Linked DNA regions of Coturnix japonica. The protein of the gene in region 1 binds, or shares a complex with, the protein of each later gene. Links are inferred from orthologs where the notes say so. Each region holds a gene or a part of one and is shown on either strand. Other genes may lie near its edges.

The links.
Region 2: CDHR2 (region 1) and MYO7B share a complex: the UniProt entries of both Homo sapiens proteins name them as parts of the IMAC/intermicrovillar adhesion complex. The link is inferred for Coturnix japonica from reciprocal best matches to the Homo sapiens genes CDHR2 and MYO7B.

Annotation. Positions count from the first base shown.
Region 1 is NC_029528.1:12,170,496-12,174,965, reverse strand, and holds the start of CDHR2 (cadherin-related family member 2), read left to right. Parts: upstream 1-1,373; 5' UTR 1,374-1,396; coding exon 1,397-1,599; intron 1,600-2,192; exon of another isoform or gene 2,193-2,207; coding exon of another isoform or gene 2,208-2,369; intron 2,370-2,650; coding exon 2,651-2,726; intron 2,727-3,118; coding exon 3,119-3,176; intron 3,177-3,369; coding exon 3,370-3,435; intron 3,436-3,514; coding exon 3,515-3,654; intron 3,655-3,759; coding exon 3,760-3,813; intron 3,814-3,948; coding exon 3,949-4,038; intron 4,039-4,444; coding exon 4,445-4,470. UniProt on the Homo sapiens protein: Intermicrovillar adhesion molecule that forms, via its extracellular domain, calcium-dependent heterophilic complexes with CDHR5 on adjacent microvilli. Thereby, controls the packing of microvilli at the apical membrane of epithelial cells.
Region 2 is NC_029524.1:1,796,922-1,801,234, reverse strand, and holds the start of MYO7B (unconventional myosin-VIIb), read left to right. Parts: upstream 1-1,336; 5' UTR 1,337-1,783; intron 1,784-4,313. UniProt on the Homo sapiens protein: Myosins are actin-based motor molecules with ATPase activity. Their highly divergent tails are presumed to bind to membranous compartments, which would be moved relative to actin filaments.

The DNA.
Region 1 (4,470 bases):
GATCAATTCCCCTCGCAGAGCCCCAGTCCCAGGCAGGCAGACACAAACACACAGCGAGCAGCTTCCACTGTGCAAATCAATGGGGATTTGCAAAGTCTCCTCTCTCAGCTCTTTGTTCTGCACTCGCCGAGCGGAGCCGTGCAGCACATCAGGTCGGGGCGGTGGGAACATCCCTCCCAGCAGCCAGATGGGGCCGTGCTGCTCCCTGCAGCGAGGGGACAACCAGCGGGAGCCCCATAAACACGGCCCCGACCCCAAAGGCAACGCAGCCTTGTGTGCAGCACCGCTCCTCCTGCAGCACGGCCAAGTGGGACGAGGCCCAGCTCGGGCAGACAAAAAAGCAGCGGCTGCTCTCAGCTCCTGCAAGAAGCGGAACAAACGGAGCAGCGGTACCGAGCGCTCCGCTCACCATTTATTTCCTCCCCTTCCTGCCCACCCCCATCGCAGTGCGGGGCCTCAGTCGGGCCGTGCCGGGCTCCACGAGCCGAGCACAGCGGGGATGGACGGGCAGCACCGGGCAGCCACCCCGCACACCGGGGTTAAGGACAACGTCCCGCTGCCCCTTATCCGAGCACCGGGACGTGCCGGGCCGCGGTTCCCCGTGTCCTAATGTTGGTACGGAGCCGCTCCCGCTGCCTTCAAAGCAGCACCCAAAGGTGCCAACAAAGGCCCGGTGCTGCGCTCCGCATTCGCCGTATTTTGAGCCGGCCTTATTATTTCCACTGCACCGTGCATTATTACCCGCCATGCAGCGCACTGACATCAGGCTCAGCCCGATCCCTCACGGCCGCTCCTCCTCCTCCTCCTCCTGCTGCTGCTGCCGGGGCTCCGGCCCCAGCCCACGCACAGCTCCGGGATGCGGGAGCCGCGCACCGCACACCGTGCAGCCCCGGGCCGAGCCGCGTTGGCTCCGGGTGCCGGCACAGGGAGCGAGGCCGCTCGGTGCTGCGGTCGCCCCGCTCGGTGCCGTCCCGCTGCGGCCTCCATACGGCCCGGCCCGCATCGCACCGCTGGGCCCTGCGGGACGGAGCTGCCGTACCCGCAGCACAGCGCACCCACCCCGCGGCACAGCCGCCATGGCCGCCCCGCTCCGTCCCCGCTCACGTCCCGCCGCCCGGTGCTCCCCGAGCACGGAGCCCGGCCCGGCCCACACGGCGACAGCCCCGAGTGCGGCCCGCGCTCACACCTCACCGGGCCCCGCCGGAGCGCCCTCCCGGTGCCGGTCCCGGTGCCGCTCCCCCCGTCGCACCGCCTGGGCCCTGCCCCGGCTCCGCCGCCCCCCCCGCCGGTTCCGGTGCCCGGCACCGCGCCCCACAACCTACCGGAGGCGCCGCCCCCGCCGCTCTCGGGCCGCTCGGTTCGTGCCCCGGCCGCGCTCCGGGCTCAGCCCGCTCGCATGGCGCGGCGGCCGGGCCCGCCGGGCTCGGTGTCCGTCCCGGTGCCGCTCGCGCTCCGGCCTCGGCCCCGCCTCACGGCGCCCCCTGCGATCCCGAGCCGATGGAACCGGCCGCCCCCTGCGCCGCCACCAGGTGGGAGCGTCCAACCCGGCCCCAGCGCCGTAATGAGCCTAAAAGAGCCGCAACTAAAACGCGCTGCGGGGTGAGAGCCGTAATGATCCGAGAGGATGCGCACTACAGGGACAGGGGGAAGGGCGGGGTGGGAATGTGGGTAGGGATGGAGATGGGAACAGAGATGGGAACGGAACGGAGACAGGGATGGGAAAAGGGATAGGGATAGAAACGGGAACAGGGCTGGGTTCAGGGATGGGGACAGGGATGGAGCTGGGAATAGGATGTGGATCTGGGTAGGGATGGGGATGGAGGCGCTGGGGACATCCCAGGCCAACCCTTAGAAGGTTTGGGGGTGTCCTGGGACAGTCCAGGAGGGTTTGCAGTGGGCTGCCTTGCACCAGGCCTGAGGGACTCGAGGAACGAGGGCACAGTGACCCTTCAGCAGTAGGGGCTGTCCTGGACCAGCCCTCAAGAGTTTCACCCCAGTCCTGGCCCTTTATGGGGTGCAGTGGGGCCTTAGAGCAGGCTGGGTGTCCTGGCTGGGTGTCCTGGGGTGTGCAGAGCTGTGCGGGCTCCTGGCCCCCTGAGATCCTCCCCAGTGTATAAGAAGGAAGAGGGCCAGGCCCGAGGTCCTGCAGAGCCAGTACAGGCTGTGTCTGTGCCTCCCCCCACTCTCACATCCCAGCCTTCTTCTGCATGAGCAGAGCCACACAATCCACCCTTGTCCCCAGCAGGGCTGAAGTAGGTCAGGGAGGCAGAGCTGAGCCCTCTAGGCCCCCCCAGGGAGGGAACCTCACAGCGGGGGATGCACGAGGCCCCAGCGGCAGCTCCACTGGGTCGGTGCCCACCTGTGTCCTGGTGAGACCTCCCTGCTCCAGCCCAGGGGATGCCAGGCAGTTCCTCAGCCCCTCCCCAGTGCCCTGGGTTTGGGGTCCCCCTGCAGCCCTACAGGCAGAGTCCCCAGGGTGCGGGTTGGGGTGGATGAGCCACGGGGATGGTCCCCAGCACAGGGGGCTGGAGCTGGGGAGCAGTTGCTGGGCTGGGCCAGAGCTGGGTGATGAGCAGCAGGGAGGAGAATGGAGAAAGCAGTTTCTCACCCCTTAATTGCAGTTAATCATTGATGAACTTGCTTACTTCAGGAGTCAAAGTTCTGCAGTGCTGCCAGGGTGCAAGCACGGCATAGCTGCCGGCAGCATCCCGGCTAGGTGCCTGCAGGTAAGGGATCCCAGCACGACCCCCCATGGGCACTGCAGTCTGGGTTTGGGGTGGGGGAATGTCTGTTGGAGGGGGTGAGCTGTGGGGGCTGCCCATAGGCGGTGATGTAAGAGAGGGGGATGTTGTGGGGTGTCACAGCTCTCTCTGGGGCTTCCATGTGGGGCTTGGAGTGATCTGGAGTGACTCAGCCTTCAGCTGTGCTCAGGAGCTGGTCTTGGGGTCCCCAGATACTCCTGAGGTCACCAGAACCTACAGACCAGCTCCATCCCCCCACTGTATCCCCATGGGATGGGACCTGTTCCCTTGGGCAGCTCAGTCCCATCCCATGCTCTTCCAGTGGGCATGGTGGGGGGGCTCGGAACATGCCCCAGTTTCTCTTCTGTGTTCCACAGGCTTTGGGCAGGATGGCATGGCACCCGCTGCTGCTGCTCCCCTTCCTCCTGGCAGCAGGTGAGGACTTTGCTTGGTGCAGGCCTGGGTTGCAGGGAAGCATCAGAGACGCTTCCAGCTCCATCCCATTTCCCTGGGGGCATCCATGACCCCCAAAAGTGGCACTGTGGGCTGGGCAGGGGAGGGTGAGGAGTGGGAGTTGTGGGGTGAGGAGGGGGAGATCCCCTGCACTCAGCTCATGTTCTCCCTGCAGCTTCAGGAAACACAGCTCCCATCTTCAACATGACCCTCGTGTACGTGCCTGAGGACCTGCCGATAGGTGAGGGGCGGCTGCGGGGGGGCTGCTGGGATGGGGGGAGAGCCTGGGGATGACGATGCCTTTCTCCCCTTGTCCCCAGGCGCGATTGCTTTCAGTCTGTCAGCCTATGACTTAGATGGGGACCCAATCACCTACGACATCACTGGGGAAGATTCCTTCTACTTTAAAGTTGATGCACAGACAGGTGTGGTGACACTGAAAAACCTGCTGGACCGTGAGGTGAGAGCAGGGACTGGGAGATGGGGCCATGGGGATGAATGGCAGAGCCCTCGGACTGAGGCTGAGCTCTGCCTGCCCTGACTGAGCTCTACTTTCCCTCCCCAGTCCAAGGCCAAGCTCGACATCTTTGTCATATTGTCTGACGGGATCAATACAGCAGTGAGTAGTGGGAACAGGGATCACAGTGGGGTCTCCGCAGGGTCTCAGTAATGCTGACTGTGATGCTCAGTGGGGCTTTGCCCAGGGGGGCAGTGCTGGCCGGCTCCTTTTCCCTTATCCAAGCTCTCCCCACAGGTCACCAGCCGCCTGACCATCATCGTGGATGACCGTAACGACAACGCACCCATCTTCCAATACCTGCCCTATGAAACCTCTGTCCTCGAGGTACCTTCCTGGGACCTGTTAGCCCCATGGGAGGGTAATTCCCATGGCATGGGTGTGCCTGGTGACAACAGGAAATAATAATGTGTGGTGACAGCATGAAGTGACGCTGCGCCTGGGCGTGTGGTTGTGGTGTTTGGTGATGGTATTCCTGGCAGTCATATCAGTGCTACTGGGGCTGGTGTGCACTGGGACTCTGCCCTCACCTCTCCTTCACACACCAGGGAGTGCCCATGGAGCTGCTCAGCCTGGGACAGGGCAAGGCTAGCTCAGGGTGCAGACAGGGAGTGGGGCTGCAATCCCTGCTCATGCAGAGACCTAAGCCCCAGATGGGGTTGGGAGGGGCTGGGCTCAGCACCTTAACCCTGCTGCCCTGTGCAATGCCACCATTGCCTCTCTGTGCACCCAGAACACAACAGTGGGCAGCATCATCTA
Region 2 (4,313 bases), on another chromosome or scaffold:
ACAGCAGAATTAATGTCACTAGGGATTATCCAATTTTAATTAATGCATTTCTCACTACATTAGGTATGAGCATGCTACAAATTACTCCAGTGCCTCTGCTACACCCAGCTACAGCTACAAATGTGCCTGTGCCTCACAGGGTCCCTTACCATACTGTCTTTAGCAGTAAACAGAGTTGCTCCCCCCTGGCAAACTCCTGATACCTGATACCTCTTGTACTGTGACTCAAAACTGAGCTCCAGCACTTCTGCTGGAGAAGCCTGCAACAAGCTGCCTGCCCAGCTCTCACATGTGCTTTATAAAGAGCCTAGGGTACGTCTGCCTGGACACCAAGCTGCTGCTCCTTCAGCATTTATATGTGCCACTTGAGTATGTCTATACTTAACTGTGGAAATCTGTCTCCCTTCTAATAGGTATTTCAGATGGCACCATGAATTGTGCTTTCATTCAGGCCGCCTTGAGTTCCTCGAGTTCCCATCTCATACATATTTACCTATTTCTGCTAGTACAGGAATACTTTGGCTCTCTCTGAAATAGAAAATGCTGCCATTGTGTCTTGGTCAAAAGCACTGAAAATGTTCTATTTTAAAATGTGATTCTCTTCCCCAGAACAAGCTGCATTGGGAATTTCAGCAAGTGTGCTTCATTTGTTGAAGAAATATATATGGCGTGTTCATCTGTCTGTTTGTATTCCTGCAGTCTAATTGCGCAACAAGCTTTTGTTTTAGATATCTACCTTGGCGCTCCAAAGGTGCTTACTTTGATTTTCTTATGTTTGCCCTACATCTAAAAATTCAGTGCTTCTTGAGGAGGTTGTGCCATTCACACAGAGCACGTACATGATGATAAAAGTCTGCTGAAGAACTGTCTTGAGACTAAATCCTTAAGAATGACTTGCACAGTTAAGGAAAGCTCTGCTTTGTAGTTTCCTGCCTCTTCCTAAAAGCCTCTGAACCCTATGGCCCTATACTCTATTTGTGCTATAAAATGTAAATAATCTCAGGTTTATTTGTTTAAGTTTTATAGCAGAAATGGTGGAGGCTAACGTTAACATACAAATATGTAACGTGGATATGTAATGTGTAACACAAATTATACCCAATTCTTTATCACTGTGCATGAATTCTGACCCCTTATTCCCATGTGGAACTACAGCAGGAATCCCAAGACATGGAGGCTTCTTCTTATCTTTCCTATGACACATTGTGGGTAATTAAACCTAGGAAACAAGAAAATAAGCACTAGGTGTGTGACCCTTGGTATTTCAGTTAGGTTCTTTTCACCTTCAGCTGTAGGTGCCGTGAAACACAGTCCCCACAGTACAGTGACTGATGAGCATTTTCTGACCTTGCAGAAGCAGCTGTAGAAAACCAAAGGGAGGGATGAGGGATAAGAACCCAATCAGAATGGTCAGTGGTGCTGGAGCAGCTAAGATCAGATGCTTAAAGGTTTCCTATTGGGAGTGGTTCCCAGCAAACTGAAAGGATTCATGCACAGAGGAGAGACTGAAGTTTAAGGTTCACCCAGGCAAGAATCAGCTGTCCTGCTTACTGGAACACCCGACTTGGAAATGACAATATGCTGAACTGGGGGCAAAGTCCTGCAATAAATAACCGTGCTTCAGCTATTTCCTCCTTTGTGCAGCAGACAAGTGGCACTCAGCAAGGGAAGCTTTCCCGGCACCAATGCCAGTTTCACCTTCCCTTTCCTTCTTACTCCCAAGCTTATGAAAAACGGGGAACTAAGCTGCTGAAGCCATACAGTGAAGATTTCTTCAGGAGAGGTAATTTTCCATCCCTTGAGGTGCAGGTCGGTTTGCTGCCACGTTGGAGAGAAAAGCAGCAGAAGAGACAGGTGTTGTGGGAAGGCGGCCTCATAGGCAGGAGGGGGATGCTCAGTTACAACTGGGAGTAAGCATTTTCGGTGCTGAATCTACATACCCTGGGATTATAGAGGATCTCTACCCCATACACCTACTTGTGGGTCTGGAGGTAGATGTGCCCTGACCTGATCCAGCACAGCCGTTCTCCATGTTGGCTTGCACCGCTGCCTCTCAGTTCTGGGCAGACATTTCAACCTCACTGCAGTATTCTCATTTCTGGCTCGGGTGAGAATCTAGTGATTGTGAGACCCTGTGGCTGACCATGGCCCACCTGCTGGTACACACTGTGCTCCTGTACCACCCTGCTTTGCTCATGCTGTAGGTCACCACACCCTGAGATTAGTGCACAGATCCAGTTGCCGAAGCGTGAGCAAAGACATGAAGATGTGCCCATAATAAAACTGACCAGCACAGGTGGAATTTATTTCTTGAAAGAGGAGACAGAAAAAAAGTAAATGCTCTCTTCTATGAGTGAACTGGGCTTGTTTATCTTGGAGAAGAGAAGGCTCCGGGGAGACCTCACTGTGGCCTTCCAATATTTGAAGGGAGCTTATAAACAGAAGGGGAACAGTTGTTTGTGAGAGTGGGCAGTGACAGGACAAGGGGGAATGGTTTTAAACTGGAACATGGGAGGTTCGGGTTGGATCTTAGGAGGAAGTTTTTCCCCCAGAGGGTGGTGACGCACTGTTCACAGGTTGCCCAAGGAGGCTGTGGATGCCCCATCCCTGCAGGCATTCAAGGCCAGGCTGGATGTGGCTCTGGGCAGCCTGGGCTGCTGGTTGGTGACCCTGCACACAGCAGGGGGTTGGAATTGGATGATCTTTGAGGTCCTTTTCAACCCAGGCCATTCTGTGATTCCATGAAAGAACACTGCATTGATAAGTTTTTGTAGATGTTGAGCACCAAAATTCAGAATTGTCTTAGTTGCAGATGGTCTCTGGAGGTAGCCCTGGGTCTCACAGGGAATTCTGAATGTAGTCACCAGGCACTGTGCTGGGGACACAGCAGCTGAAGGTCCTCCATGTGCCACATCATGCTGTGTGACATTCCACATTTCTTCCTGTTATTGGGTTATGTGTGAAAACTGCAGTTAAAATTTCTGCTTTAAAACACGTGTTAGCATTGGACTTTTAGAGCAGTGGTCTGTCATCTCTCCAAGTTTCCATTTATTTTTCTCCTTGGGATCACAAGACATTTTGTAATTTTGATAACTGATTATTTTTAATGTCTTTTGCGGTTATTTGGAAGTGGTTCATTGTTCTGGACTTGCTTAGAAACTTGTTCAATCCGTGCTATTGTGTAGACCTTTTCAGCCACAAACAGGGCATGCTGCTTGCCAAGCACTTCTCGTTTCCACTTTGCTACCATGGCAGCCCTCCTCCTGCTTAGGACATAGATGTGATGCACACAGTTGCACTGTCTTGCATGTAGGGCTATAAGTGTTCATCTGTTTAGTCTGAAGAAAAGGTGGTTTATGCAGCCAAGGCTGTAATTTATGGAAGCTATTTGTAATTTTCAGGCTAACACAGGTAAGTAAAGTTGGTGGCTACAGCAAACGATAAAATAAACCCTCATTCTCTCACTACAAAGCTTTCTTCTAACACTGAATACAAAAGTTTATTGAAACAAGAAGAAAACATCATCCCCAAACTTCATTTCATGCCGTGTGTTTTAATGGTGGCTTTTGTTTTTCAAGAGCACGTATTTCCAAAATCAAAGTGGTGGCTTAAAACAGTTTTCTAGTAATTTAAGCAAAGGGTAGATTTGTAAATTGCAGAAACCTCTGTAGCTTCACAATGAAATGGAGACAGAGCATTAAATGGCTGAAAATAAGAAGTCGGGAAAATAATGAGATCTGGATAGCTCTGATAAAATGCATGCACAGTATTATGCAGAATTGTAAATTGTTAATATAAGCTTTATCCATGAGACTTTAAAGCCTTTAGAAGTGATGAAGAGGAGAAATCTCATGGGTTTATGAATTATCCCATTGGTCACTTTTGATGGTTATATGTATAGCAATAGCAAAAACCCCACCAAACCCAACCACTTCCAACTCAGTTAATTCATGATTTCCTTGTTTTTCTCAAACTTCCCAGAGAACCTGTCCAAAATCTGTGCAAGTTTAATCTGGGGCCAGAACAAAATGATTGTGCCAAATGCAATGAGAAAGTAAGACATCTGAATTTGAGTGTTGAGATCAAATTGGAGCAGGTGTTCCAGGAGATCACGGAGCTGCCTGGAATAGCTACCAAAGATCAGTTCCTCGCCCTGTAGTGTCCTCTTGTCTTGTGAAATGCTTCACATTTTGCTTATTGCAAGCATTTCATTAGGAACTTTGAGTTGAACCTTGGGTGTGTGGCAGGGGAAGAGATCCTTTATAGAGATGAAAGGAGCAGAGTGGGCTGAACAGCTGTTGGAAGGCTGTGAT